Linked DNA regions of Sus scrofa. The protein of the gene in region 7 interacts with the protein of the main gene of each other region in a pairwise test. Links are inferred from orthologs where the notes say so. Each region holds a gene or a part of one and is shown on either strand. Other genes may lie near its edges.

Evidence for each region.
Region 1: the proteins of TAX1BP1 (region 7) and MRPL11 interact in binary tests that used the Homo sapiens proteins (3 or more experiments, as listed by UniProt). The two-hybrid records come from large-scale screens. The link is inferred for Sus scrofa from reciprocal best matches to the Homo sapiens genes TAX1BP1 and MRPL11.
Region 2: the proteins of TAX1BP1 (region 7) and CXXC1 interact in binary tests that used the Homo sapiens proteins (3 or more experiments, as listed by UniProt). The two-hybrid records come from large-scale screens. The link is inferred for Sus scrofa from reciprocal best matches to the Homo sapiens genes TAX1BP1 and CXXC1.
Region 3: the proteins of TAX1BP1 (region 7) and GABARAPL2 interact in binary tests that used the Homo sapiens proteins (3 or more experiments, as listed by UniProt). The link is inferred for Sus scrofa from reciprocal best matches to the Homo sapiens genes TAX1BP1 and GABARAPL2.
Region 4: the proteins of TAX1BP1 (region 7) and LGALS8 interact in binary tests that used the Homo sapiens proteins (3 or more experiments, as listed by UniProt). The link is inferred for Sus scrofa from reciprocal best matches to the Homo sapiens genes TAX1BP1 and LGALS8.
Region 5: the proteins of TAX1BP1 (region 7) and MAP1LC3C interact in binary tests that used the Homo sapiens proteins (3 or more experiments, as listed by UniProt). The link is inferred for Sus scrofa from reciprocal best matches to the Homo sapiens genes TAX1BP1 and MAP1LC3C.
Region 6: the proteins of TAX1BP1 (region 7) and DAZAP2 interact in binary tests that used the Homo sapiens proteins (3 or more experiments, as listed by UniProt). The two-hybrid records come from large-scale screens. The link is inferred for Sus scrofa from reciprocal best matches to the Homo sapiens genes TAX1BP1 and DAZAP2.

Annotation. Positions count from the first base shown.
Region 1 is NC_010444.4:5,977,216-5,981,290, forward strand, and holds the start of MRPL11 (39S ribosomal protein L11, mitochondrial), read left to right. Parts: upstream 1-1,275; 5' UTR 1,276-1,509; coding exon 1,510-1,632; intron 1,633-1,997; coding exon 1,998-2,093; coding exon of another isoform or gene 2,094-2,379; intron 2,380-2,543; coding exon 2,544-2,637; exon of another isoform or gene 2,638-2,638; intron 2,639-2,722; coding exon 2,723-2,882; intron 2,883-3,999; coding exon 4,000-4,075.
Region 2 is NC_010443.5:99,937,326-99,941,590, reverse strand, and holds the start of CXXC1 (CXXC-type zinc finger protein 1), read left to right. Parts: upstream 1-1,465; 5' UTR 1,466-1,698; coding exon 1,699-1,701; intron 1,702-2,499; coding exon 2,500-2,618; intron 2,619-2,722; coding exon 2,723-2,823; intron 2,824-3,134; coding exon 3,135-3,370; intron 3,371-3,461; coding exon 3,462-3,656; intron 3,657-4,044; coding exon 4,045-4,071; intron 4,072-4,147; coding exon 4,148-4,265. UniProt on the Homo sapiens protein: Transcriptional activator that exhibits a unique DNA binding specificity for CpG unmethylated motifs with a preference for CpGG.
Region 3 is NC_010448.4:12,130,187-12,134,143, forward strand, and holds the start of GABARAPL2 (gamma-aminobutyric acid receptor-associated protein-like 2), read right to left. Parts: upstream 2,801-3,957; 5' UTR 2,673-2,800; coding exon 2,639-2,672; intron 2,301-2,638; coding exon 2,245-2,300; intron 869-2,244; coding exon 696-868; intron 1-695. UniProt on the Homo sapiens protein: Ubiquitin-like modifier involved in intra-Golgi traffic. Modulates intra-Golgi transport through coupling between NSF activity and SNAREs activation. It first stimulates the ATPase activity of NSF which in turn stimulates the association with GOSR1.
Region 4 is NC_010456.5:54,889,246-54,893,368, forward strand, and holds the start of LGALS8 (galectin-8), read right to left. Parts: upstream 2,801-4,123; 5' UTR 2,302-2,800; exon of another isoform or gene 1,639-2,301; intron 1,154-1,638; 5' UTR 1,092-1,153; intron 1-1,091.
Region 5 is NC_010452.4:15,369,904-15,373,981, forward strand, and holds the start of MAP1LC3C (microtubule-associated proteins 1A/1B light chain 3C), read left to right. Parts: upstream 1-1,278; 5' UTR 1,279-1,786; intron 1,787-2,723; exon of another isoform or gene 2,724-3,039; 5' UTR 3,040-3,063; coding exon 3,064-3,121; intron 3,122-3,231; coding exon 3,232-3,287; intron 3,288-3,723; coding exon 3,724-3,830; intron 3,831-4,078.
Region 6 is NW_018085018.1:160,763-164,766, forward strand, and holds the start of DAZAP2 (DAZ-associated protein 2), read right to left. Parts: upstream 2,801-4,004; 5' UTR 2,736-2,800; coding exon 2,723-2,735; intron 1,725-2,722; coding exon 1,606-1,724; intron 1,197-1,605; coding exon 951-1,196; intron 51-950; coding exon 1-50. UniProt on the Homo sapiens protein: In unstressed cells, promotes SIAH1-mediated polyubiquitination and degradation of the serine/threonine-protein kinase HIPK2, probably by acting as a loading factor that potentiates complex formation between HIPK2 and ubiquitin ligase SIAH1.
Region 7 is NC_010460.4:44,907,466-44,911,680, reverse strand, and holds the start of TAX1BP1 (tax1-binding protein 1), read left to right. Parts: upstream 1-1,415; 5' UTR 1,416-1,573; intron 1,574-4,215.

The DNA.
Region 1 (4,075 bases), on a different chromosome or scaffold from region 7:
AAGGTTTTGTCCTTATTGTACAGTGATAGCAAACGTTGACTAGGTGACAGATACTATCCTAAAGCACTTTGCTAACTTAACGCTCACAACTAGCCCCAGGGTATAGGGGGCCACATGTTATAATTCCCATTTTGTTTATTTAAAAAAAATTTTTTAAATTAAAGTATGGCTCAGTGGTAATGAACCTGACTAGTATCTGTGAGGATGCAAGGTCCATCCTTGGCCTCCCTCAGTTGGTTAAGGTTCCAATGTTGCCGTGAGCTGTGGCGTAGGTCACAGACCGGCTAAGTCGACTCCTAGCTTGGGAACTTCCATATACCGAGGGTGCAGCCCTAAAAAGACACACACACACACACACACACACACACACACACACACACACACACAAAAGTATAGTTGATTCACAATGTTCCTTCAATTTCTTTTTCTTTTTTTTTTTTAGAGGGCTGCACCCACAGCATATGGAGGTTCCCAGGCTAGGGGTCAAATTGGAGCTGTAGCCACCAGCCTACACCACAGCCACAGCGACACGGGATATGAGCCACGTCTTCAACCTACACCATGGCTCATGGCAACGCCAGATCCTTAGCCCACAGAGAAAGCCAGGGATTGAACCCGCATCCTCATGGATCCTAGTCGGGTTCGTTAACTACTGAGCCATGAAAGGAACTCCTGTTCCTTCAATTTCTGATATACATAAAATGACCCAGTCCTACATATATAAACATTCTTTTTTTTTTTTTAATTCTATTTTCCACCATGTTCTAACCTAAGAGACTGGACACAGTTCCCTGTGCTGTAAAGCAGTATCCCATCATTATCTGTTCTAAACAGCTTGCATCCACCAACCCAACCCCCCCCCCCCCCCCCCCCCCCCCCCCCCGGCAATCACAAGTCCACTCTCTATAATTCCCATTTTACAGAGGAGGAAACTGAGCATAAATAACTTGGTCAAGTTCACAGCCAAGCAAGAGAAGCAAGCAGGCAATTTGCTTCCAAGTCCATACTCTTAATATTTCTTTTCAACAGCAGGTGAAGACACGGGCTCATAAAATGAAGAAATTCCCTCGCCTGAAAAAGGAGCTCTAGGTTATTTTCAAACCCAGAGATTATCTCCGTGTCCAGCAGATGGCGCTCCAGGACACGCCACTCTGTGGGGTTTTCCTAAGAGGGCAAAACTACCATACCCATAAGACAGGGCGGCGGCTGAGGGCCTCTTTTCGCTTAGGTGTCTGAAGCAGTGCCTGTGTGCTCTCCAGGAGGAACGTGCGTATCCGAGCCATTCGGGTCCTTCCTCAATTTAAGATGGCACGTTAAAGGTTTTTCCCGCTTCATCTCATTCCCTTTGTCATTAGTGGGAGAGCGGAAGGACGGAATCAACGCTACTTGTTGGCTTCATTTGTCCTATCCTAGTGTGAGGACCCTTGACCTTTAACCCAAGCTGGCGGCGCCCGGAGCCTTCGCTCTTGCCGTGGACCTGCGATGAATTAAGGCCAGGAACTCCGCACCATGTCGAAGCTCAGCCGGGCCACTCGGGCCCTCAAGAAGCCCGAGGCCAGCGGCATGATCCGGGCCATCGTGCGGGCAGGCCAGGCCAGGCCCGGACCCCCACTCGGCCCCATCCTGGGTCAGGTGCAGCCGCGGCGGGAACCTGGAGTGGGAGGCCAGGGTCGGGTGGCCGCTAGTACGCGCGTGGAGGGTGCGGGCTGGAGCCAGGGCGGCCTCGGTTTAGAACATGGATCTGCTTGTCCACACGCAGTATGGCTTTGGGTTGGTCACAGAGCTTCTTCAGTCCTTCCTCGACGAGCTGTTGTGAGCCTAGACAGACGTGGAAGCATACAGATCACCTGGCACAGAAAATGCTCGTTGAATCTGGGTAGAGAAAAAAGGATGGGAACTTAGAGAAGTGAAGACGGAGGAGAGAACGGACAGAGAGCCTCCTGGGTGGTAGGAAGCTTCCCTGCGCCCCCACGCTAACCCCTGTGCCTCCGTCACAGCGAGGCGTTTCCATCAACCAGTTCTGTAAGGAGTTCAACGAAAAGACAAAGGACATCAAAGAAGGCATTCCTCTGCCCACCAAGATTTTTGTGAAGGTGCGGAGTTGGGACGCTGACCCCCAGTTTCCTTCTCATTCTCCCTCTTCTCCCCAGGTCCTGAAGCTGGTCGCTTGGGGTTGCTACTCTGCTTCTAACTTGGGGCACGTGTCATCCTGTTCCTGGGCCCCACTGTCCCCATTTACACGGTGGAGACTAGTCCGTATCTTTCCGGAGCCCCCCATCTACTGCCATATTGCAGATCTTAACTTTGCCCCTCCAGCTTGCTGGGGCTTCCAGAGCAGAGTTGGGTCTGGAAGAGAGGTGACAGGGATGTTTATGGCAGGTGAATTTTTCTGTGGTTTTGTGGTCAGTTAAATGGGCATCATAGGAAGGTGATTTGGGGAAAAGGAGGGACAGGAAGTTAAAAGTTCCCCAGGCAGAGGCAGCAGGGGTGGGGTGGGGGGGGAGAGAGAAAGAAGTAGTCTCATATTTCTTTTGTCTGTGAAGCCCGACAGGACATTTGAAATCAAAATTGGTCAACCCACTGTTTCCTACTTCCTGAAGGCTGCTGCCGGGATTGAGAAGGGGGCGCGGCACACAGGTAAGGGGCAGGGTGGGCATGGGGATTCTGCAGGCTCTGGAAGGAAGCAGTGACCTCTGAAGAACAGCTTGTTCTTTCCTCCCAGGAAAAGAGGTGGCAGGCCTGGTGACACTGAAGCACGTGTACGAGATCGCCCGCGTCAAAGCTCAGGATGACGCCTTCGCCCTGCAGGACGTGCCGCTGTCCTCTGTTGTTCGCTCCATCATTGGCTCTGCCCGTTCCCTGGGCATTCGTGTGGTGAAAGAGTGAGTGTCCAGGGGAGGGTCTGGAAAGTTCTTGACCCTGGGACAAAGATGAGGACCCACTGAGTGGGAGAGTCAGCTCCTGACTTAAGAGAGCTTAGATTCTTGGGAGTGCAGGGCCTCATTCACTGGAATGTATTTATTAAATATTCGTCAGATATTGTCCTGGACATTGGGTGCAGCTGGGAAGGAGGTAGCCATGCTGGGTCTGGCTTCTAAGGAGCTCACAGCCCAGAGATGGAGGCGAATTCATAAAAGGAGAATTATATTGTTGGATGGTCGGTGTGGCTAAAAGGAACTACAGGTGTCTTGAGTACAGGGATTAGGGTTCCTGATTTTGCCTGGTGTGTCAGTGAAAGCTTTGCAGAGTCCTTGACATCTAAGTAGAGCCCTGGGAAGCGAGGTCAAGGAGTGGGGGCAAGCATTCCAAGAAGTGGAAAAAATGTAAGGTGGAAGAGAGAGACGCAAAGAAGTTCGGTGTGACCCGGGTGTGTGCTACTAGAGGCGGAGTGGGAAATAGTATGAAGAGGGGATGCAGACAGGGACCAGTGTGTTCTTGAATTCAGACTTGACCCCAAGGCCAGGAGGGGTCCCCTCATGGGGCTTCCGATGACCTCAGGAATTGTTTTTTTTGAAGTGAGGTGTCAGGTGGGAGAGCATCCGGCGTGGACAGCAGAGGCAGCACCCAGCCCTTCGCTGGCCTCTTGCTGCTGGTGTTTCCCAAGAGGAGTGGGGTTAAGCATGGGACAGGGATGGACTTGACTTTGCTCAGGTCTTCACTTGTACAGAGGTGAGTGCATGTGATCCCTGCTCTAAGAGAGACATACAGGCACCAGCTAACGACCTCTTTGTACAGAATCTTTGGGGCACAGAGGAAAAGTGGGTTAATTTGGCCTGGGATGTAGCCGAGGTCTCGGAGGTTGAGTAGGGCTTCAAGAAGGGAATAATAGGCAGAGGCGATGGGGGGGTGGCATTCCTGGCGGAGGAAACAGATGGGCAGAGCCCTGGAGGCTGGGGAGTCCAGCGGGGGAGGAGGGGTTCTGAGAAGGTGCCGTGGGCACCTGTGAGCCCCCCACCAGTGCCAGGCCCTCACGTAGCGTCTGTTTTTCTGTACCCGCAGCCTCAGCTCAGAAGAGCTGGCAGCTTTCCAGAAGGAGCGCGCCCTGTTCCTGGCTGCTCAGAGAGAGGCAGATTTG
Region 2 (4,265 bases), on a different chromosome or scaffold from region 7:
CCTAGGCTTAAAAATCCCCCATGGAGACAGAGCTTTGAGGGCTATCTCCTGTCTCCTTACTTGTCATAAGTAATAAGAAATAAATGCTTCCGGTTTAACTGAAAGTTCTTGGTGTGTTCATCAGTGAAGCACCCCAAGTGACAAACTCATTGTGTCTGGTCACACAGGGTCAGGGGAAGACTTGATGAAGCCTTTAAAATTTTTGGTCCATCCATTCTCACCACACATGGTCAGGTCATCATCATTTACTGCCAGTCTGTGGTTTCTCTGGACTAATTCTGAGGGATGAGGGCTGCTGCAGAGGCCCAGAGGCTTAATCTTGCTAAGCCTGGCTAACATCTGATAGGAGGAGTGACAGCTGGAAAGAGTGGTGGGAAGAGTCAACAGAGATAATCAATAAACTATACTAAGGAACAGAAGAGCTGTTGTTATGATTGTGGCACGTGGAAGTTCCCTGGCCAGGGAGTGAATCTGTGCCGCTACAGCGACTCAGGGCAGCTGCTGTGACAACACCAGATCCTTAACCCTCTGAGCCAGCAGGGAACGCTGAAGAGAGTTTTATTTGAGCCAAGCTGCGGACTGGGGCAGGAGTGCAGCCTCCACCAAGGAAGTAAGGGCTCCAGAGAAGCATGGTTTTCAGCACAGTTTCATACCCTGTCAGAACAAAGAGAATACATCAAACACGACAGGGGTACCTTTCTTCAAGGTTTCAACAGACCCTAGTTACAAATTAGCATATAGACAGACAGCGAGCGTTACCTTGACATCTGGAACAGGTACTTTAATCTCCAAGAAGATCTAGCATTGGTGTCATAGGAAGGGAGGCATTTCTCCCTACTGTAAAAGTGGACATTCTTTATATAATGGTTAAAGCAAAATACAAGGTATGTTTGACTGTTCTAGTTCACATAAAGTTCAGGACAAATCAGGTATAAGCCCGGCTGGCTTCATTAGTCCCCAATATGCGAAATTTTCTTCCATCAGAGGTGATATGGGAGGCGTAACAACAGGACTGATTTCCTTCCCAAAGCAAAGCACAGCATGCCTGGAGCCCATTATTAAAATACATGTGGAAGGGAAAAATGACTGAATAAGAGCGTCTCAATCGGGTAACGTTGCCAAAGCTGCCCCTTCGCCTGCGAACATCTAGACAGTACCAGCTGCTGGCATCGTAATCGACCGCCAAGATGGCGGCGCCCTCTCAGAAGCCGTTTAGGACGCTGCCATGTGTTGCCTATGAACGGAGGGACTCTGCCACCTTACGGAATCGGATTTCAAGATGACGGCGTCTGCTTGGAAATCGCTCAGTAGGCGCGACCATATTGCCTAAACGTCTGGGCCGTACAAACAGTCCTGTACGGACAGGACCCGCAGACAAGGTGGCGGCGCCCTCGGTAGAGCGAAATATAGGCGTGGCCATGTTGCTTGCGAACTTATGGACGCGGCCACCGTACGGTCTCAGTAGTCAAGATGGCGGCGCCTGAGAGACAGTCCGGGCTTTTAGGCGTGCTACTTGCTTGTTTGTCGCGGAGCGGACGCACTGGGCCTGCGCAATAGGAGTACCTTGCTTGGGAGGCGCGTCTAAAAGCGGAAGTGCTTGTGGGCGCCTTTGCAACGGCCGCGGACGCCGCCGAGCGGTCTGTGTAGGTTCGCGGGTCTCTGGCGGGGTTTGTGAGGGGCTTCGCCAGGAGCGGAGAAATGGTGAGTGCGAGGTCCCAGGATGGGTCGGCGGTCGAGGTCAGTGGGGTTGGAAGCGGCGGGTTCCATGGGCAAACGCATAGGGGGTCTTTGGTGAACCGTAAGAAGAGTCTCTGGGCAGAATGGAGGGGGCCCGTGGTAAGCCTTAACAGGAGTCTGTGGGTAGAATGATGGGGGGCTGATGGTCAGATTTTTTATTTATGCGTAAGCCACATGGGAGTTCTGTGATGAGGGTCCGTAATGGAAGTTTAGGGGGGATCCGTGGTGGTAGTTCCTTGGGGGTCCGGATGGGGGATTCTTTGTGCGGAGTGATGATAAGCTTGCGAAGAGTTGTCTTGGGCAGTCTGGAGTGAGCAGTGTGAGTCCGTGTGGAGGGACCCAGGGGGCGGGGCTGTCTCCGAGGTTAATAACCGGGCATCTGAGGGGAACCCAGGTGGGAAGGCTGAGGAATAAATCATATGGTGTCTGTGAGACCCTGTGGTGGGGATTTGTGGGGAGCCATGTCGGAGGGCAAAATATGGTGAGTGGTAGGTTGTTTGTAACTAGCCGTCAAGAGTGGGAGAGTGGAGTAATGGGCTATCAGTGGGATGAGTGATTGGAAGTCTGGGGCAGAGTAGTGGGTGTCAGAAGTGAGTCATGGGGGTGATCTGTGGGGACTATGGTGGAGAGGTTGATGAGGAGCCATGATGAGACTATTGGCAGAGTGTTGGGGTCTGTGGTGAACCTTGATGGAACTGTACTGGAGGGATGAGGTGCCATGATGGGGGTTCTCTAAGAAGCCATGGTGGGGATATCCCACAGGAGGGGGATGCTTCAGACCCAGAACCTCCAGATGCTGGGGAGGACAGCAAGTCAGAGAATGGGGAGAATGCGCCCATCTACTGCATCTGCCGCAAACCAGACATCAACTGCTTCATGATGTGAGCTGGGGGAGAGGTGGGCAGGATTGACACCTGGCCAGGTTGCGGGGAGGCCGATGGGGCAGGACCCCTCACATCTCCATCACTCACCCTGTTTTCTGCAGCGGGTGTGACAACTGCAATGAGTGGTTTCATGGGGACTGCATCCGGATCACTGAGAAGATGGCCAAGGCCATCCGGGAGTGGTATTGTCGCGAGTGCCGAGGTGAGGGAGTGGAATGGACAGGGCAGGCAAGTGGGGCTTCGAGGGAGGAGGAGGAGCCTTTATGGGAAGGTGAGTCCTGGGGAGCGGTGATATGTGTCTGGGGACAGAGTGATTATTGGTTGTGCTGAGCTGGAACGGAGGCTTCATTGTGAGCTGTGATAGAAAGTCCCACTGGCAGGGGCAGCTCTTCTGGGGGTATGAAGACAGAGCAGGTGGGTGGGACAGAAGAGGAGAGAAGGGGAAGAAAGACTTCTGGGACCATCCATATCTCCCAGTGCCAACACATGCTGGCTGTATCCTCTGTCCCACAGAGAAGGATCCCAAGCTGGAGATCCGCTATCGGCACAAGAAGTCACGGGAGCGGGACAGTAACGAGCGAGATGGCAGTGAGCCCCGGGACGAGGGTGGAGGGCGCAAGAGGCCTGTCCCGGAAGCGGACCTGCAGCGCCGGGCAGGGACGGGGACAGGGGTTGGGGCCATGCTTGCCCGGGGCTCCGCCTCGCCCCACAAATCCTCTCCACAGCCCCTGGTGGCCCCACCCAGCCAGGTGAGTGGCTTTGATGTCTGGAATAGGTGAGGGGATCCTATCTCAGGCCCTGCTCTGGTTCCTAATTTCTGTTCTGGGCACCTCGTCCTAGCATCACCAGCAGCAGCAGCAGCAGCAGCAACAACAGCAGATCAAACGGTCAGCCCGCATGTGTGGCGAGTGTGAGGCCTGCCGGCGCACTGAGGACTGTGGCCACTGTGACTTCTGCCGAGACATGAAAAAGTTCGGGGGTCCCAACAAGATCCGGCAGAAGTGCCGGCTGCGTCAGTGCCAGCTTCGGGCCCGGGTGAGCATGGGCAGGGCTGGGCAGGGTCTGGGGGGGCCATTGTCTTCAGAAAGAGATGATTAAGGCTAGGGCGGGTGGGCTGGGTGGGGTGGGGCATAATTGTATACAGATAGCTGGGGAGGAGCCCGGCCTGTCCTGATGAATGGGGTGCAACCAGGTGTGCTGGGCTAGCAGGGGAGCCCCCAACCTCAGCTGGGCAGGGTAGGACCAGATGTTTCCAGGTGGTCAAGCATGTCAAGGCAGGTGGGGCAGGGCTGAGCATGTCCTAGTGATGGGGGGGCAGGTGTGTTTAGGGAGTTGGTGGGGTCAAGCACTTGTGGAAAGGGTAAGGGCAGGGCCACCCTCCATCCACCTGGGGCTGACCTGGGCCTTCCTCCTGCCGGCACAGGAATCGTACAAGTACTTCCCTTCCTCGGTGAGTCCAGCCCCCCAGGGCGGGCGGGGCATGCGGGCAGGGCGGTCAGGGCCAGTCCTGAGATTCTGCCCCGCAGCTCTCGCCAGTGACGCCCTCAGAGTCCCTGCCAAGGCCTCGCCGGCCACTGCCCACCCAGCAGCAGCCACAGCCATCGCAGAAGCTGGGGCGCATCCGTGAGGACGAGGGGGCAGTGG
Region 3 (3,957 bases), on a different chromosome or scaffold from region 7:
CTTGCCACAGTGGACTAAAGCTGGGCTGTCAACTACCTACAAGAAGGGAATTGTAAAGGCTCTGCCTAGATTCAGGCCCCAGGTTATCCCAAAGATTGCTTCCAGGCAGCACAACAGCAAGAGCAAAGGGGGGGTTCCTCTTACAGTCAGAGTAAGTGGTACCAAGGGAGGTGAAAGGCTGTAAAGAGACCTCAGAGCCCTGTGCTGGCCGGCAGCCATTCCCATGTACTTGAGGATCAGGCCGCTGCTCTCAGTGCACTCTCACCACGGCCAGAGCTGAGCCTGGAGAGCGAGCAAGCAGGCAGGGTGGTTGATTGAAACTGAGCCTCAGCAGGGCCCACAAGCTCCTGGGGAAGAACTTATTTCATGGATCATTTGGAGAAAACCTCATTTCAGGCTTCAGTTCTAAAAATGGCTAAAGCCAAAATAAGTCCTAACTGTTTTAAAGGATTCTTGGGCGCCTGAGGCTGAATCTCATCTTTTGTTTGTTTGTTTGTTTGTTTGAAGTCCAGGCCTTACTCTATTGTCTTAACCCAAAGTATACACCCATCTACTGCAACTCTTCCTTGAACTCCTGAGGTCAGGGAACACAAAATCCTTATTTCCAGTCAAGACCCCTAAGAGCTTTCAGTCCTCCAAAGTTTTGAGTTCTGCAAGCAACCAAGCAGATGGCCAACACAGTAAACACCTCTCACCTGGACTGTGGGACTGTCTTATCCACAAACAGGAAGATTGCCTTTTCAGAAGGAAGCTGGATCCTTTTCCTGATAATCCACATGAACTGAGCCACAGTGATGTCAGATGGAACCAGGTATTTCCGTTTGTCAATGTCAACAATCTGAGAGCCTGAGACTTTTTCCACGATCACCTGCAAAAGCAGAGAAAGGTCGGGACTGGATTTCTAGACTGAGGCTCTGGCCCAGCATTACTGGAGAGCTGATGAACAATGTGTGGTCAGGGAGGTGGGTGGGAAACTGTGAAACATGAGAAAATACGTTCGACTTAAAAAAACCACACACTTAAGAATTGATATATATGTGTTACGGGGAAAGGTAAGTGCTTTTCTGTGGTCAATTACTTTCTTTCTCATCCCTGATCTCAGCATGCATGAAATAAACACAGCCCTCACAAAAAAGCTTTGCAACATCTTGTCTGGGCAGACTGGAGACTATCTGGTGAGAGCTTCCTCTACAGCCTGTTACTTCAGGACCCCAAAGTGAACCCACACTACAGGGGAATAAGATCCCAAGGAACACTGGAAATGAGAATGGACGGACTAATGGGATGGACTGGCAATCCCAACCAGCCAAGAACCAAGCTCTTCATTTGGCCTGTTGCTTCTCTCTGAACTACGTTTCAAATTTACCCCTCTTGCTCTCTCCCCAGAGGAACTGTTTACAAGCCATGAGCTACAATAACAGACCCGGATGTCCTTTAAAAACCAATCAGGGAGTTTCCATCGTGGCACAGTGGAAACAACCCGACTAGGAACAACGAGGTTTCAGGTTCGATCCCTGGCCTTGCTCAGCAGGTCAAGGATCCAGCGTTGCCATGAGTTGTGGTGTAGGTCACAGTCACGGCTCAGATCTGGAGTTGCTGTGACTGTGGTGTAGGCCAGCAGCAACAGCTCTGATTGGACCCCTAGCCTGGGAACCTCCATATGCCATGGGCGCAGCACTAAAAAGACAAAAAACAAAAAGGACTAAAGAAACTATGTGCCCTAACACGGAAGAAATATAGGATACGTTTTATTGATTACAAGGAAGGCACTGGACGGGGCTCCTCAGATTTTTTTTGGTCAGGAAAGGATGACAGGGTCAGGGTGAGAAAAGGGAAGGAGAAGTCAGGTAAAGCCGGAGGCTCAAAGTTAAAGATGAATGTCCTAAGGCTAAAGTATCCCTTCCAAAACCAAAGTGAAAGACTCCCTCCACCACTATTCCCCAAAGTGGCTGTGACCTGTTGCCCTGTCCTAGAACATCGTTTCTTACATAATTGGCGAGGGAGCCCTGAGGCTGCAGACAGCTCGCTGGCCTAGTTCCGGAGATTCAGCACTGAGGCATCCTGAACAGCACCAACTCAAGCCCCTCAAGCCGCCGCCCGAGGGTCCCTAAGCCGTCAGGCCCCGTCAACTACTCTAACCGGACTGGAATCTAAACTTATCAACTGCTGAATGGCCAGGGACCCTATCATGGGTCCAAGACGGCAGGGGTGACAGCGAGGTGAGGGGGCGGGGAGTTCACTCACCGGAACCCGGTCGGGATATTTCGCTCGGATCTTCGCAGATTCCACGCATCTGTGTTCTATGAGAAAAACACACCCGGCTGACGGTCGCGCCGGCCCACCGGCCTCCGGGTCCCTCGCCCCTCCTCCACCCCACCCCACCCCCGTGACCTGTGCACGCCCCCGGCCCTCGTTCGGGTGTCCCAGCGACCTCGGTCCTCGTTCCCCTGGCTCTGGCGGGGCCCGCGGAGGGCGGCGAGGAATCCATAGTTAGCCGCCCGGGGTGCTGGGGCCTCGGCGACCAGAGCTCAGAGGGCGGCATCCGCCCCACCCGGCCCAGCCTAGGGCGGCCCGAGTGGGGGAGGGGGCCCACCCGCCGCCCCAGCCCCCACGGGCAGGCCAAACGCCGAGCGCTTACCCAGCGAGTGGTCCTCCTTGAACATCCACTTCATGGCGACAGCGGGGAAAGGACGCAGCCGGCTCTCGGAGCCGCGGAGCTCAGCGCACCAACCACAACAACAACGACGGCGGCGGCGGCGGCGGTGACTACACGGCAGGCGGGACTTCCGGCCGCTGGAGCCTAGCAACCGGCCGGGGGCGGGGCTTCCGGCGCCGCTTCTCAGGGCATCGGGCCAGGAGGCGTGGGGCAAGGAAGGAGTGGGTACCGCGAGAGGCCGCGGGAGGAGTTGCCGTGGTGACGTTGACGATTGGGGTGTCTGTAAGGGAAGTTGATGACTGGGAAGGGGATATTCAGGAATTGGTAACAAGAGCGGGGTTTCGGTGGACGTTGGTAACAGGAAGGGATGTGTGGAGGTCTGGCTGATACGACAGGGCTCTTGGGAGTGTTAGAGAAGTCCGACCGGGGCGTTGGTGACAAGAGGGGAATTTTAGAATATCAATGACTGAAGAGGGGTCTTTGGTGGCTGCTGATGGCAGGGGGTCTGTTTAGGGCATTGACAGTCTGAGGGGTATTGTGTAGAGTGGTAACGGGTTGGGCTAAATTGAGAGGTTTTTTGTTTATTTTTTTGGCCACGCCCACGGCATGCGGAAGTTCCCAGCCAAGGCCAGGGATCCCACCTGAGCCACCGCAGCGACAGCGCCGGATCCCTAACCCCTAGGCCACCAGGAAATTCCCAGGTTGGGGGCTCAATCTGGAGTGTATGACTAGTTTGAGGAAACTGTATGGGGAGGGATACTGATGACAACCCCGGGGGGTTCATTATTGGGGACAGCCATAACAGGTTGCATTGGACCTGGAAATGGAGTTTAAACAAATCCCATTTCCTTGCTTTATTCACGAATAGTGTCTGAATAAACATTTAAGAAAAGGTATCATAAATATGCATTTGAGGGGCATAACATCACGCTGATCACAAAGAAACCCCTTAATCTTAACTGGTGGAGTAGTCAGAGGTGACAGACTCAGAAAATTCCTCTGACAGCTAGGCATGAAGCGGGTTTCTTCAGCACTCAGCTTTGGGGTTCAACAGTTACAGCCTGGGTTGTGTGAGTGTCTCCTGCCTGAGCGTCCGCCTTCAGGTTCTCCAGGAACGTCATTCCTTTCTTCTTCCAAGAGTCATGGGACGGTCTGCCCTGGGTCATCATCTGTTTATGAGCTGGTGCATATCTGACAAGATATTCACTTAATTGGGCACATGATCCTCACCACATGCTTGTGAGTCTGATGCATCCAAAAGGCCTGCATGTGTGAACATCGTCATTCACAATTTCCTCAGT
Region 4 (4,123 bases), on a different chromosome or scaffold from region 7:
TATATAAATTATTTTACTAATATTTACCAAATAACCAGATGGTATTACAATCAAAGATCTGACTGAAATTCTTATCCCATGTATTTTACTAAATAATTTTGCATTATAATTCCAGGAAATACTGATTTTAAAAGTACATCAGTAGAAAATTTCTAACTTGAAAATTTTATTAAAAATACTTATTGTTGAGAGTTCCCACTGTGGCTCAGCGGGTTAAGAACATGACTAGTACCCAAAAGGATGTGGGTTCTATCCCTGCCTCGATGAGTGGGTTAAGATCACAGCGTAGGTCGCATATGCAGCTGTGGCATAGGCTGGCAGCTACAACTCTGGTTCAACTCTTAGCCTGGGAACTTCCATATACTGCAGGTACAGCCCTAAAAAAGAAACAAACAAACAAACAAACAAAAACTTATTAAGAATACTAGAAGTTCCCTGGTGGTGCAGTGGGTTAAGGACCTGGCGGTCACTGCTGTGACATGAGTTTAATCCCTGGTCCAAGAACTTCTGCATGCCACAGGTACAGACCAAAACAAACAAAAAACAAAAAACCTAAAACAAAATAATAGCAAATACTCCTATACAACTATCAGAGAGGTTCATTTAACTTTTCTTACCTGTAAAATAAGAATAATAATAGCATTCACCTCATAGGTTTGTTCTGAGGGTTTACATTACTTAATAAAACATTGGAACAGTACATGCTAAGTTTTATCTACTGTTATTTAGTAGAAGGGGTTGCTTTACCTCCTCCAAATTAAACAAGTCAAAAGAAAAAAAATTCGATGCCTCAAATATTAATGAGATAGTTTTCCCTGTAGCAAAAAAAAAGTATCCATCAGTACTACATTTAAACCACGGAAGACTCGATGACTAAGCAGAACTAAGAGAGAAACGAAACTAAAGCTTCCAACATTTTCCTTCCACCAATTCTGTCATCAAAGTTCAATACACACTGACCAAATCTATTACTTTGCCTCTGTTAAGAAAAAACTGAATCTCCAACACTGGATGTAACATAAGCTGAGTAACCGGTTAAGCCATGTTACACAGCAAGAGAGATTTTGCAGGTGTAATTAAAGGATACCAACCAGCTGATGTCGATAGGGATTGTCCTGGATTATCCGGTGGACCCAATGTAATTACACAAGCCCTTAATAAAGAAAGAAGCCAGAGAAGTGTGATAGAAGAGGAAATCAGAGATTTGAAGCACGAAAAGAATTTAACACACTACTGCTGGCATCTGAGATGGCGTGTAGGTGGGCAGACTAGGAAACTGTAACGAAATGAACTCTGGAGACAAACTCAAGTATCCTGGAAGTGGATTCTTCCCCAGAAAATACAGCCCAAACCGGATAACACCTGAATTTCAGCTTGTGACCCCCTAATCAGAGTACTTGGCCTGGTCTAAGATCTGTAAGAAAAATAAATGGGTGTAGTCAAAACATCAAGAGCTATGCCCTAAAAATATACATTTTCTATTTGTTAAATAAACTTCATTAAAGCTAAGAAAGGAAGAAGGTAGGGAGGGAGGGGAAGAGGAAGGAAAAAGGGAGGGAGGGAGGCAAAGAGGAAGAGAAAGAAGCAAACGCTGCACCCCTCTTGGTTTATATATGTAACTCCCACCTATTAACTTACACGTTGGTCAAAACCTCCAAACTGTTGTTTGTGCTCCGCCAAACTCAGGAAACATCAACAAGAGCAAAAGAAAAGGATACAGAGATGCCATGGCCACAAGCCTAATTTACGTCGTGAACAGGGAGCGACCCAATTTAAACCATAGGCTCAGGTAAAACCGATCATTCCTTGAAATAAACACAGGCACAGGACTGCGGTAATCAACCAGAAGCCATCCCGATGCTGCACGGGTGATCAAAACAATTCGGAAGACTTGCGTCTCCTAACGTCCAATGACTCGGCATCTCCAAAGAGCGTGACCAGAGTCCGCCAAGGGCCACGGAGGTCTGACACTAAGTCTAAAGGACCCCGATCATATAAAGTCCCAGGAAGGATACGCGCGCGGGGAGGTGACCCGGCCCCGGCCGGGAGGTCGCAGATGAGAAGGTGGCCCCAGGGCTGTCGGACGCCCAGGGGTCCCGCAGGAAGGGCCGCAAACCCCAACCACCGCTCACCCCCGGGCGTCGCGCGGGGCGACTTCCCGCACCCAGCCCGCCGCTGCCGCGGTGAGAACCAGAGACGGGGCTGCGCGGAGCCGGTCCCACCCGTCCAACTCCGAATGGGGACAGCGCAGCCCAAGTAATCCCCCGCAGTCGCGCGCAGCAGCCCACTCCCCCGACTCACCCCGGGGCTGGCGTAGTAGGCGTCGCGGGCGCTCGGCGCAGGAGGCTGTTCGTCCGTCACCGCCTGTCGTCCGCGTTCCCGCCGGGCGCGCGCACAGCTACGGGAAGCAGAAGGGTCAAGCCGCCTTTTCCCGGTTCGCGTGCGGCCGTCCACGACGGCCCTGCCTCCGCGTCGGGGGCGTGCTCGCGGATCTGCTGGGCGCTGGGGCTTCCTGCTGCCCGCCTCCGCCCGGCCGGCTTCTACACGGCCTCTGGGGAGTCAGGCCGCGACCGGCTTGCTGTGGGACGAGTAGTCTGGAGGGGACGCAGTGTGTGCTTCAGATTCCCGGGCGGAGCTGGCCGTCTCTGCCGCACCTTTGGGGCTCGGGGGCCGGGGATGGGGAAGAGGAGGAGACCTTCTGCTCCCCTCCGGCGTGTCCGCAAGTCTCGGAGGGAAGGCGCTCAGGACGGGTGCGGACCCGGCAGTGGCCGAGGAGGGTCTACGTGGCCAGGGCCACCGCCTCTGTCCTGCCCCGATCGAAGGGGTCAGGGCCAGGTGTTCGAGGTTTGCTTCCTTGTTTGTCTTGGATCAGAGTCCAGACAGTCCGTGCTCGGCCTGGAAAGAGCCTGGCGTGGAGCTCTGCCTTCTTGGCCACACCTTGGGTCAGTGGGGAAATGCGATCCCACTCTGCCTGGTCTAACTTGGACTTCAGCCCCTGGAGCTCACCCGCCAATTTTGTGCGGTGTTGTTTTCTAAGTTAGGTATTTCCCTGGGGAACGTGTAGAGCACAACTGTGAGCACATTAGGTATTCAGAAGTAACCGACTTTTCAGTCAAGGGCCCATATCGATTGCCAGTTTGACCTACTGGCTGCAAGAAACATCAGCGAGAAATACAAATAGAGTTATGTAAGCTACCTTAGGCAGCTAGTACACTTTGGTTTCGCTTAGAGACCTCAAAGTTCTCATCTTCTTACTTGTCTTCCTTGATTTTTATCCAGGTTTCCTTTGAAAGACATGTTTTGGTGTCCCTGCTCTGTGTTTCTCCTCTGTAACTCTGGGTTTTATTGTTTTTTAAATTGAGGCATTCAGGAGTTCCTGTCCAGGCGCAGCGGAAACGAATCCGACTAGGAACCATGAGTTGCAGGTTGGATCCTTGGCCTCTCTCAGTGCATTAAGGATCCAGCATTGCTGTGAGCTGTGGTGTAGAACCCAGACGTGGCTGGGATCTGGCGTGGCTGTGGCTCTGGCATAGGCTGGCAGCAACAGCTCGATTAGACCCCCAGCCTGGGAACCTCCATATGCCTCAGGTGCAGCCTTAAAAAGACAAAAAAAAAAAAGAGGGATTCATTACACATCATATACTATCCAACTCATTCTGGTCCAGTGTTACATGTCTCTCCTTTTCATTTTCCAAGTTCACTTCACTCTTCAGGATCCAATTTCTGTAGCTGTCTTTAACCCTTGGCATGTGCTAGCTGGGATGTGTACTTACCTTTCTGTGCATTGTTGTTTTTGTCTATCCAACTCCATTTTAAATTGAAAAGAGGGGGAGTTCCTGTTGTGGCTCAGGGGGCTACACACCAGACAAGCATCCATGAGGACGAGGTTCGATCCCACATTGCCGTGGCTGTGGCCAGGCCAGTAGCTGTAGTTCCAATTCAACCCGTAGCCTGGGAACTTCCATATGCCTTGGGTGCGGCCCTTAAAAAAAATCAAATACATATACAGAAAAGAGGGACTTGTCATATAGTCCCCAATGCCTAGTTTATTGCTTTGCATGAAGTAGACACTCTCTGAATACTAGGTTTGAAATGATAGGTTATTGGTAAAGTGAGGAGCAAC
Region 5 (4,078 bases), on a different chromosome or scaffold from region 7:
GCAGCTCCAATTCGACCCCTAGCCTGGGCACTTCCGTATGCTGTAGGCATGGCCCTAAAAAGAGGAAAAAAAGTAAAATCAATAAAGAACATAGCAGTTGCTTGGAATATAATCATTGTGGTGGGAAAATGAGTGCTAATGATAGAGACCCCTCTCTAGGTAGGATCATGTGATTCATTTTCCTCTGTGGAAGGTGGGTGAACCCTCAAAGGTGCCACTTTAAGTCTGAGAAAGCCAAGTGTAAGTGTATCTTTTCCACCTGTTTTCCCATCTGAGCTGGTGGAAATGAAGGCCTTTGAGGTGACAGAACCTGCAGGTGTAAAGCAGAGAATGCCCTTAAATTTCTCCTGGAACAGAGCCAAACAGGGAGCCTCCTACATGTACTGGACTGCGATGTGGATGAAAGTCAAACTCTTTATGTGTAGCTGTTACATTTAAGGGTATATTTCTTTTTTTTTTTTTTTTTTTTTTGTCTTTTTTGCTATTTCTTGGGCCGCTCCCACAGCATATGGAGGTTCCCAGGCTAGGGGTCGAATCGGAGCTGTAGCCGCCGGCCTACGCCAGAGCCACAGCCGCGTCTGCAACCTACACCACAGCTCACGGCAACGCCGGATCATTAACCCACTGAGCAAGGGCAGGGACCGAACCTGCAACCTCATGGTTCCTAGTCAGATTCATTAACCACTGCGCCACGACAGGAACTCCAAGGGTGTATTTCTTATTGCAGCATAGCATAGCCTGTCCTCACTACAGAACAATTAAATGGTAGTAATGATTACTTTTTTTTTTCAAAATATAAATAGCCACGAAAGGAAAATATCACAAAGTTAATATGAAATATGTAGGATTCTTTCTTCTTGAGCAATAAAAAAGAAATTTTGAGGAAGTGCCCCTTGTGGCTCAGCAAGTTAAGAACCCAACTAGTATCCATGAGGAGTTGGGTTCGATCCTCAGCCTTGCTCAATGGGTTAAGGATCCGGCGTTGCCATGAGCTGTGGTGTAGGTCGCAGACATGGCTCGGATCTGGCATTGCTGTGGCTGTGGCGTAGGCCAGGGGCTGTAGATCCGATTCGCACCCTGCTTAGGAACCTCCGTATGCTGCAGGTACAGCCCTAGAAAGCAAAATACATAAATATATGTATATCTCGAAGCCCAGAGCTCAAGAAATTGGTCACATGATAATGGGTAGAGACAGGAAGGAAGGAGAGGAGGTCAAAAAAGGGAAGAGGAAGGGGTCCCAGGGCCATCATGACCTGTGGAAAGTTGTGAGGCCCCCACTGCATTCTAGCACCTCAGGTCAGCGCCCCAACCTTCTCCACTGAGCCTCAGCATCAAAGATGGACCTCATCCATGGAGGTGTGGCCCTAGGAGCTAAAGGTCTTCTAAGAAACCAATCTAACTACTGAGGCCAAGTTCATGCTCCTCCCTGCAGACTCAAAGCCTCAGGGTGAACTCGGCAACTATTGTCCTAGCTTCGTAGGCAGGGGTAAAGGCAAGTTTTTTTTTTTAATAGGGAAGATTTTTCACTAGTTGTGTAAAAAACAGAGTAAACTACTGCTTTTCTTTCTGTCCCTCAGCAAACTGGAGAATGTTTGGTCACCTTCCCCTGTGTCATCATCACTACGCTGAAGACTTCTCAGTGTCCTGCATAGAAGGGAGCCAGGGATGACCAGTAAAGGTCATGGTACCTCCAGAGACAATCGAGCAGAAGCAAATGGTCCTTTTTATTCTCAGGACGTGATGGATCTGAATAACACGGAGGGACCGCCGAGCTCCTGGGTGTGAGGTAAGGAGGTGCTTGGCATCAAGTGGGAAACGGGGTCACTAAAACCGTCATTAAGGCGTTCCCCTCATGGCTCAGTGGAAGCGAATCGGACTAGCATGCATGAGGATGCAGGTTCCATCCCTGGCCTCCCTCAGTGGGTTAAGGATCTGGCGTTGCCGAGAGCTGTGGTGTAGGTCACAGACACTGCTCGGATCTGGCATTGCTGTGAGCTGTGGTGTAGGCTGGCAGCTGTAGCTCCGATTTGACCCCTAGCATCTGGGAACCTCTATATGCCGTGGGTTCGGCCCTAAAAAGACAATAAAGAAATACAGAAATATCCTGAGTTTGATAAAAAGTGTTCTACCCACATTCCTAGACCTGTAAAAAATGACCAAAATATGCTGGAAAGCTGCAGAGTATAACACTACTTTGATACATGCCTAGATTTTTTTTTTTTTTTTGTCCTTTTTAGGGCTGCATCTTTGGCATATGGAGGTTCCCAGGTTAGGGGTCTAATTGGAGCTATAGCTGCCAGCCTACACCACAGCCACAGCAACACCAGATCCGAGCAGCATCTGCGACCTACACCACAGCTCACGGCAACGCCAGATCCTTAACCCACTGAGGGAGGCCAGGGATAGAACCCGCAACCTTATGGTTTCTAGTCGGATTTGTTTCTGCTGCACCACAACTGGAACTCCCACACCTAGATTTTAACCCTAATTTTACCTCTTTATCTGGACAAGTTACTCAGCCTTTCTGGAATATTCTTTCTTTCTCTTGCTTTTTAGGGCTGCACCTGAGGTTCCCAGGCTGGGGGTTGAATTGGAGTTGTAGCTGCCAGCCTACACCACAGCCACAGCAACATGAGATCTGAGCCTTGTCTGCCACCTACACCACAGCTCACGACAACTCAGGATCCTTAACCCGCTGAGCGGGGCCAGGGGTTGAATCTGTGTCCTCATGGATGTTAGTTCGGGTTTGTTACCACTGAGCCACAACGGAAACTCCCTACATTGTAAATCTCAATTTCTTTAGCAAAGACAACATTTTAAACGGTAGTGAGCAAAGTGACTTTCTCTAACCAGCAAGCAGGTGGCTGTTTCATTTCCATTCTGAAAAATGACCCCCTCCTGCCCAGGAGGGGAGGGCTGGAGAAGGCTGATGTCACACAGTCCCACATAAAAGCGTCCTTTGGGCTCCCGCAGGCAGTTTGGAAACAGCTGGAGGAATGAGTTAGGTACTCTTTTTTTTTTTCTTTTTTTTCAATTCAGACACAGACACAGCTGTTGAGCAAAATGCAGACTCCCCAGAAAAGCCCAAGCCTCAGACCCTTCAAGCAGAGGAAGAGCTTAGGTAAAGTTCTCAGAGTATTTGTCTGGGTTTGGGCCCTCGAGACAGGGAAAGACGAGGACACGGACTTCTGCTCCAGGCTGATATGTTCATTTCATCTTACGTGTTCACAGCAACCAGAAGAGAGGAAGTGGCTGGAATCCGGATGAAGTTCCCTGGCAAGATCCCGGTAAGACTCCACTGTGGCTCCTCAGCCGGGCCTGTGATGTCCCCTTCTTTGAGAAAACAAAACCCGGAGCTGCTGTTGTGGCTCAGCAATCACGAGCCCAGCTGGTAACCATGAGGATGTGGGTTCGACCCCTGGCCTCACTCAGTGGCCCAGGGATGCCGCATTGCCGTGAGCTGTGGTGTAGGTTGTAGACGAGTCTTGGATCCCATGTGGCTATGGCTGTGGTGTAGGCCAGCAGCTGCAGCTCCGACTGGACCCCTAGCCTGGGAACTTCCATATGCTTCAAGTGCAGCCCTAAAAATCAAAAGAAAAAAAAGACAAGACCAAACCCAGGCAGTGACCCCCTTCTCTCTATTCCAAGTTTCTAAGACACGGAGACTGAGGCACATTCTTGGGCATTTGCTTCGGGAGAGATTCAGGTTGAAACTCTTGACAGGTGATAGTGGAGCGCTACCCCAGGGAGAAATTCCTGCCCCTGCTGGACAAGACCAAGTTCCTGGTCCCCCAGGAGCTGACCATGACCCAGTTCCTCAGCATCATCCGGTAGGTAACAAAGTGCATGCAGGGGCCGGGGGTGGAGGTGCGCCCTGTGGCCCTGGGCTTCTTGGAACAACGGGAGATGGGCTACAGCAGAGAGACAGGGAAGGATGTGGGTTTCACCTTTTCTCTTCAACTCTGCCTTTTAAAAGGATGATGTTGAGTTCCCGTTGTGGCTCAGAGGGTTAAGAACCTGACTAGTGTCCATGAGGTTGCAGGTTTGAACCCTGGCCTCATTCAGTGGGTTAAGGGTC
Region 6 (4,004 bases), on a different chromosome or scaffold from region 7:
TGCATGACTGCCAGCTGAGCAGCATTGGGAGGGCATCCAGGGGGAGGAGGCTGAAAGGAAAAGACAAGGTTGATTGGGCACCGGGCAGCTGATACGAGAGAAGTGGACAAAGATGAAAGAGGACCGGTCAGGAAGATGGCAACGTGCTACTTGAGCCAGCAGTGTGGGTGAAGCAGGTCTATATTCTCTGTGAGCCCCAAGACATAAACAGAAAACAGATCCTACCCCTCATTTAAAGGGTCCCAGATCCAAGATAAAGCCTAGGGATCCCTCCTGGGTATGCACAGTCCAGACCCATAAGCATTTGCAGGGTGGAAAATCCCTCTGACTCCCATTCCAAAAAATGGGGAGGGGTTACCAGGTCCATGGCCCTACACCACAGAGTTCCTCAACAGTTTTCACATGGATAATCTGAAGGCTCTACCTGATGACAGCATTCTCACCTCATTGTTAGCATATGGTTACTGCGTGAATGGCCCTAGCAAGGACCATTTGGGCTCTAGTTACCATACATAGGGAAACTAAGTGGGAGACATAGTAAAAGCCCTAGTAAAGTCTTCCTAAAGGGAACTTAACAGGGATACGCATTCTACTTTTTAATCATCATGGCTCCTGATAAAATGCTGTGCAAATATTAAGTAAATGCTTATGGAATGAATGAGGAGTGTTACTAGACCAGTACCAAAGTGAACTGGAAAAGCAGCAGGCAGGACTCCTAAGACAGAAACAAAGGAATCTGGTTAACTCAGACCTCAGTGAATATGCCAGAGGCTACTGACTTCCCACAGTTCTCCTGCCCCCTCAAGTGAATTCTGCCTGATTACTGGACGTCAGTGGTTGCACCAATACCAGCAACTACTGCCCAGGGATGATGAAAGGATGACTATGTAGTCATTTCAGAAAGTTAATATACACAAGGGCTGAGGTTTTTGTGATAAAGGCATACTCACAGGAATGTTGCCAGCAGTAGCGCCAGCTCCAAATCTGGCACCTGTATCATACCCTCCTTCCACCAGCACTGTTGAACCAGGTGGATAGATGGGACCAACTGGATAATAAGCCATGGGGATTGTGGAACCTAAAGGTCCAACAGCCACAGACTGGGCCATGGGAAGGTACAGTGAGGCGCCAGGAAATGCAGCTGACATGGTGGGGACTGTGGCAGCCCCTGGGTGCACAAAGCTCGGACGATAGAGCTAGAAGAGGCAGAAGAGAGGGCAACACGTTACTTTATGACATTCTTATTTCAGATCTCTTTCATGAGGCAATTCTTAATTATTGTGCAGATTACACTCTGAGTTACACAAGTTGCCTTTCCACCAGCCACTCAATATCCTCCTGGATCACTTCCTGCTAGAAATAATGTTGGGCTCAAAGAACGCTAACTCATCTTCTCAACTTCAGCCTGTGCCAAAGAGCAAAATAATCAGATAATGCCTTCTCAACCCCAACTGAAATTGCTGAACTATAAAGAGGTTTTAGATTATCCACGTGAGCTCTCTCTCCTGTTTGTGGAGAGTAAATACATGTGTGGAGCCAGACTTAGCTAAAGACTGAAAATGTGATCCAAGAGTACTCAGTTCAAGTCTAGTAAACTGGAAGCACCTCTGAATAGGCAGGTGGAGCATCAGTATAGGGTGGAGCCTGAGGAAGATGCAAGGTCTGAGGGTACACAGGATTCCCGGGAGGCTGCACCGGGTAGGTTGGCTGCGTTGGATATTGACCTGGAAGACAGGAAAAAAAACAAAAAACAAAAAAAAGAATGTTGCCTACCACACAGAGCAACCAAAATGGGGCAGAGCATACTGGGTAGCTAACCTCACTGAGCCAGCAAGAGGTTTGCAAAAACACTGTCCTAGAGGGCCTGATTCCTGGAACCAAGAAAATAAACACTCTTTGTACCCTTATAACTGAGATGCTGGATTCTAACTGGGCTGGAAGGTCTCTTTACAGTAGCACACTGGTACAAGGGGAAAGTCTATCTAGGCCCAAGATCCTTCCAGAATGGGCATGTCTGCGCACCCATTCCTGTCGATGTTTTAAGTGTGTGCGTCCTCTCTGCTCTGGTGGTCCCCCAGGGCCTGGCTGAAACTGGCCTAGAGCTCGTGAGTAACGGTGTTTGTAGTCCTCCACCTCACAGGTTCCTACTCAAGGTCGACTTCCAAATAAAAAGAGTGGTGAAAGTGAGCCTTGGGATGGGAGAGGAGGTGGAGGCGAATGTCCTAACACAGGAACTGGGAGACGTTCAGGCGGCCAGCGAGGTTAAGGGGAAAGAGACCCTTCGGCCTGCCCGGCCCGCCCACCAGGGCCGGCAATTCACTAGTTAAGCCCTGGGGCCTGCCTGTGGTTCCGGAGCGCGGCGCCCCGCCTCCGCAGGCTCTCCATTGGCCTACCCAAATATCAGCTCTAGCTCCCCATTTGCGCCTGCAGATGCCCATCACGACAAGCCTTCTCGCCCCCCCCCCCGCTCCAACGGCCCCCCACTCGAGCCCGGAGCTCCAAACTGCGCCACAGAGTTTAAGGGGGAAAAGGCCAGGAGGGGGCGAGCAGCCGTAGTTCGGGGATGACGAAGGCGTCTGGCGCAACCCCCGGCACTACAGCTGGCCCAGGAGCGCGGCGCAACTAGCCCCAGGCCTGGCTTTTGATGACCCTTGGTCCCGGGCCCGCTCTCTCCGGGCCAGCACTATTCTCCCCGATGGCCTCAGCTACCCCCTGTCCTTGCCTTTGCTGTTCATGGTGGCTGCGGGTCCGGTTCAGCTCGGCGTCGCGGACGGTTATTTTTTTCGTCCTCTTCCTGTTCGTAGTCACTTCCGTGTCACGTGACGATTCGTCCGCCTAGCGTCACCCGACGCCCGAATGCCGCTGCCACCGGAAACCCCGCCCCTTCGCCAGGTCTCCAGTAGCTGGAGGAAGGACCCGCGTGATCCGCCCACTCACTTTGGCCCCGCCCACTGGGTCGAGCCCTCCAACCCCCACCCTTGTCCCTTGATTGGAAGAAAACAAAGTACAGGTATTGTCTCAAAACAGTATCTTTTCTCTCTTGGTCGCTCTGAGGCAGTACCTTCACACTGCTCCCCGAAACCCTTCCCACCTACGCACTGCAACTCAAGGTCACCTTACTTTGAGAGTCTTTCCACAGGGGGCACAGTGCTACGAATTTCTCTAACTGCCTGAAATACGCTCCTCAAACCCTTGATTTATCCCGTGTTCCCCTCCCATTAAACCCAACTTAAGCCTCAACTCCATAGAGGTTTATTTTGCTGGTCGTATTCACATCTGTCCTTTTCTGACTTAGACCATCACTCGAATTTTCTCAGCCTGTCCATTCTACCGACAGGCTTCTGTGTTTATTTCAGTGTCGCTTTCTCACTAAAAGGAAGGGTATGCTGTGCTGTGAACCCCCCCCCCCCCCACACACACTACAGCTAACACTGAAACTGGCATTCTTGTGGTCCCCAAGGAGTGCCTGTGGCCCTGCCCTTCCTTTGGTACCTGTTACAGGCAACTGTGTGATACCTCATGTATATTTTCCTTTGTGTATCTCCTAAATTAATTGTTCTTGGAGTTCTCTTGTGGCTCAGTGGTCTAAGGACCTGGCGTTGTCGCTGCTGTGGCTCTGGTTATAGCTATGGCAAGGGTTTGACCCCTGGCGTGGGAATTTCTGCATTCCTAGCTGAGGCAAAACAAAACAAAACAAAACAAAACAAAAACCTTGTTCTTAAGGGCAAAGATGGCATCCTTTCAGGCAGCAAATAAGTTTTTCCTTCCATTCTTCGTTTTAAAATATCTGCTGGTGTTGCTCTGTGCAAGTAGAGATGGAGCTGGACAAGACAGGCAAACATTGTTTTCTTATGGAATTTACATTCTATACTTCAGTAAGAACATTAGAAAAGCATCTGAAAAGGGAAAACTTTGGAAAGAAAAGCCCTCAGTAAACCGTAGAAGCCTGATAAATATTTGCTGATGAATGATTTAAACCACTGATTTCAGCTCAGCAATCCCTT
Region 7 (4,215 bases):
TGAGAAGATGTTGCTGTCGTTTATTTCGAGAGTGTTTGGCCTATGTTTTCCTCTAAGAGTTTTATAGCGTCTGGTCTTATATCTAGGTCTTTAATCCATTTGGAGTTTCTTTTTGTGTATGATGTTAGGGAGTGCTCTAATTTCATTCTTTTCCACGTGGCTGTCCAGTTTTCCCAGCACCACTTATTGAACAGGCTGTCTTTTCTCCATTGTATATTCTTGCCTCCATTGTCATAGATTAGTTGGCTGTAGTTGCTGGGAAGAGTAGCACTTCTGAAAAATTCTGCTTATAAGGGTTCACTGCCGTATTTACATTGCTTAAGAGACACAGACAACCACTGGAAGGTTGCTACCAGTAAAGCCAGGTGATTACTGATATTATCACACTATCTGTAATCTAAGGAAATTGGTACTAAATGTTCTATAAAGGTTCTTCTGAAATCTATCAAGTATGATAAACAGAACAATACCAAATTCAAATATTTCAATATATAGGAAACAAATCAGTTAGCAGATATTGAGAACCCTTATTATCAAAGGCATTGTAATATTAAATATGTTGGAAGTAAAGTATATTGAAGAAGATTTTTGTACGTTTTGAATTTAGAAGATGCTTCAACATTTGACCTGATCTAATTTATTATCCTTTCTTCACCTGTGATGTTGCAAATTTTATCAGGGTTTGACGGCAACACAAGTACATGATTGTAAGAGACCACACTTGCCCCCGCGGAGTTATGATTTAAACTGAACCCCTACTCTAGGAAGTCATAACAAATGACTTTAGAAATTATAACTGAATAAAGGATACAGGACTAAATAAATTCATGCACGCAAAATAACGGATAACAAAAGCAGTTAACTCGAAGAAATGCGGGTAGAACGAGCAAGAGGAAATAGAATCATAAAGCACTGGAATTGCAAACTCCTAAGGGAAACCGAGGTTTCACAAGGAATAAAATCTCATTGTTAAGCAAGCACTGGGCTGGGCCAGGAGTTTGAAGAGAGTGATGGATTGCAGCCCCAGCCACGCGGTTGCTCTTTCGCTTCTTTGGTTCTTCACTTTCTGATCCACAAAAGAGATTCGCTTGGACAGATTTTTAAAGATCCAGACAATGACCTGGTGCCAGTTTAAACACTATCCTTTCCACTTAACTGGTAAATTCCTTGAATTTCCGGTCAAAGTAATAATTAAAAAGCCCAAAGGACCCTGTTTGTTTACGGCCAGGTCTCTGAGCAAAACCGGCAGGGCGGAAGAGGAGTAACAGCCGAACCGACGGTGAAAGCCGGTAAGGAATTGCCCGTGGCCCGGCCACAGGCAACTAACTGCCAAGGTGATTTAACGTCCAGAACAACCTGGTTGGTGTTCCAGCTGACCTCGCGTGGCTGCGGCGGCGGCGGCGGAAGGGGCGTGTCCCTGGGCGGAAGTGACGTGCTCCGGCTTTAGGCCCGGGGAGGAGGTGTAGCCGGTCGGTAGAAGGAGGCTTTGGTGGCGGAAGAGGATCGGGGCTGATGGCGGCTCAGGCTCAGAAGTCTTTTTAACACCCTTATCTGCCCAGGAGCTGCCCACTCGGTAAGCTCTTTCCCCTGCCTGCCCCACCGCCTGGCGCGGGGCGGACCCCCGCTGGAGCTCTTTGGGGGTTCGAGAGACTCCCCCCCTCAGTAGAGACTAGGGGCCTGGCTGATCTCGGGAATGGTCGCCCTGGTGACGAAGCTGCCTAGTGACAGTGCCTTCCTTCCCGGGCTGCGATTGTGACGGGGGTGTGGGCCACTTCGGTTAGCAGTGGAGTTGGAAAAAGCGACCGGTGGCCGCCTCACAAGGCGGGGAGGCCCTGGGCTAGGCCTTCGCAATTTGGGGGACCTGTGTGGGGCGTGGACCCTTTGGCTGGGGGCGAGTGACGCGGTGGGCCCCCCGGAGAGGACCCTGCCTCGCCCGAGGCTCAGCTGCGGGGTGAGTGTTTTGAGGGCAGCGTGTGTGCTGTCGACGTAGATAAACTTGGGAAAACATCTAGGTCGCCTCGGGTGGGACGCTCGGGCTTGCCCGTGAAGGGTGAAACCCAAGTGTTTTGGTTTGAGTCGCCGGCAGATTAGGAGGCGGGGACTCGGTGCGCCGCCTACGTCTCGGGGCCGCGGGCTGGGTTAGCTGTTTTGGTTGGATCACCGACTTCACCTGGGCCGCTGAATTAGCAAACACTTTTCTTTTGTTTATAAGTGGCTCTACGCCGAGTTCTCGAAGGGATGTTTTAAAATCTTGGGAGGAGAGCCACGTTTGTCTTTGCTTAGGCAACTTTTCCTGATTTCACAACTCTCCCTCCCTCCGGCACCCCGGAGCTCCGCAGGTTGTGTACAAGTCCCGGCAGGCGTTCGTCGTTTCGGGGAATCTTTATTAAGAGATTAGTATGTGCGTGCATGTTCTGATAAACATTTATTACCTGATTGATAATTTGGGAACGCTGTGACGTTTGACTTTCTACGTACGCTAGGTTTTTAAGTTTCGGAAAGTAGTTAGGAATTGCTGTTAAAAGTCAGGCTTGGGAAAATCGTAACTTTTCAACTCTGCATTCCGCTAATTGTGGAATATTTACAAGATGCAGGAACAATTGCTAATTGTAATTTTGGAGCTCAACTCCAAAAGCATTTAGAGAGATCATTTGAGTAACATGTTAATCCAAGAAGTGAGCTAATTAACCTTAAAGTGCTATTTCCCGCATAGAAGAGGGCTGAGGCCAGTCTTTCTTTTCGTGCTTATCAAGGATCCACTTAGGAGTTACCGTCATGGTTTAGTGGTTGGCGAATCCAAGTAGGAACCGTGAGGGTGCGGGTTCGATCCCTGGCCTCTCTCAGTGGGTTAAGGATCAGCGTTGCTGTGAGCTGTGGTGTAGGTTGCAGACGCGGCTCGGATCTGACCTTGCTGTGACTGTGGTGTAGGCCAGCAGCTACAGCTCGGATTGGACTGCTAGTCTGGCAATCTCCATATGTCGCTGGTGCGGCCCTAAAAAGACCAAAATAAATAAATAAATAAATAAATAAAAGGATACATTAGAAATAACTTACTAGCTTTGGGGTTTTTTTTTTTGTAACGTCAAAGAATATCCTATTTTTATTTTTTAGTCATCACATTTTTAAATTGCACACTCCTGTTGACAATAATGGCTGCAGCCGTTTGTGTAGAATTAAACTGTAAATGCCTTTTCCTTAACAAAATAACAGATATTTTGGAATTCTAAGTTTCACCCTTTTTTTTTTTTTAATTTTTTTTTTTTTCCCCACTGTACAGCAAAGGGGTCAGGTTATCCTTACATGTATACATTGCAATTACAGTTTTTCCCCCACTCTTTCTTCTGTTGCAACATGAGTATCTAGACATAGTTCTCAATGCTATTCAGCAGGATATCCTTGTAAATCTATTCTAGGTTGTGTAGTTTCACCCTTTTTAATGATATATATTTATGAAAGATTGCAACCATGCTCCTTTTTTACTGCTTTGGAGGAATTATCTTACATGTGATGTTTATTGAATTGCATCCTTTTGGAATTTGGATACTACTCAGTATCACTCTTGGCTTTTTAAAGTTTATTTTGCCCCATACAAACTCCTACGAGAAGATAAAGATTCTCTCCCCTCTAATATATATGGGCCAAGACCATGGCTTTTTAGAAACCAACTTTTAAAACAATATAAAAATTAAATATAAGTGGTGACACCTGGGCAGAATAGCCTGCTATTCAGCTGTGAAGAGTTTTGGAGATAGGGAAGACTGTAAGAGTGCACATCAACAGACTGATTCTTTTGTTTCTGCCTCCCAGAAAGATTGTTGATAAGAATTTTTTGGTTTGTAAACCAGCTGATAGCCTTTTTTTTGAGCTGAAGTGTGAATAATTGGAAACTATTAGAATATTAGACTTATTTTTTCCTTCCTGATGTTCAGTTTCCTCTAGGACTAAAGTTTGGAAATAAATTTAAAAGTTCATCCCCCCTCTTTGGCCTCTCCCGGATGCTTCTATGCCAGGGATCAAGCCTGAACCACAGCAGTGGCAGTGATGGGTTCTTAACCTCTTGAGCCACCAGGGAACTCCAAAAGTTCATAAGTTTTTAACCGAAAAACTTCCGTTAAGTTAGTCAGCTACTGTGTGTAATATGTTTCTATTGAAGGAAGTCGTACTGAGTTTTTATTACTAATCTTTATTTGTCTACTTTGGTTTTATTAACTTTTA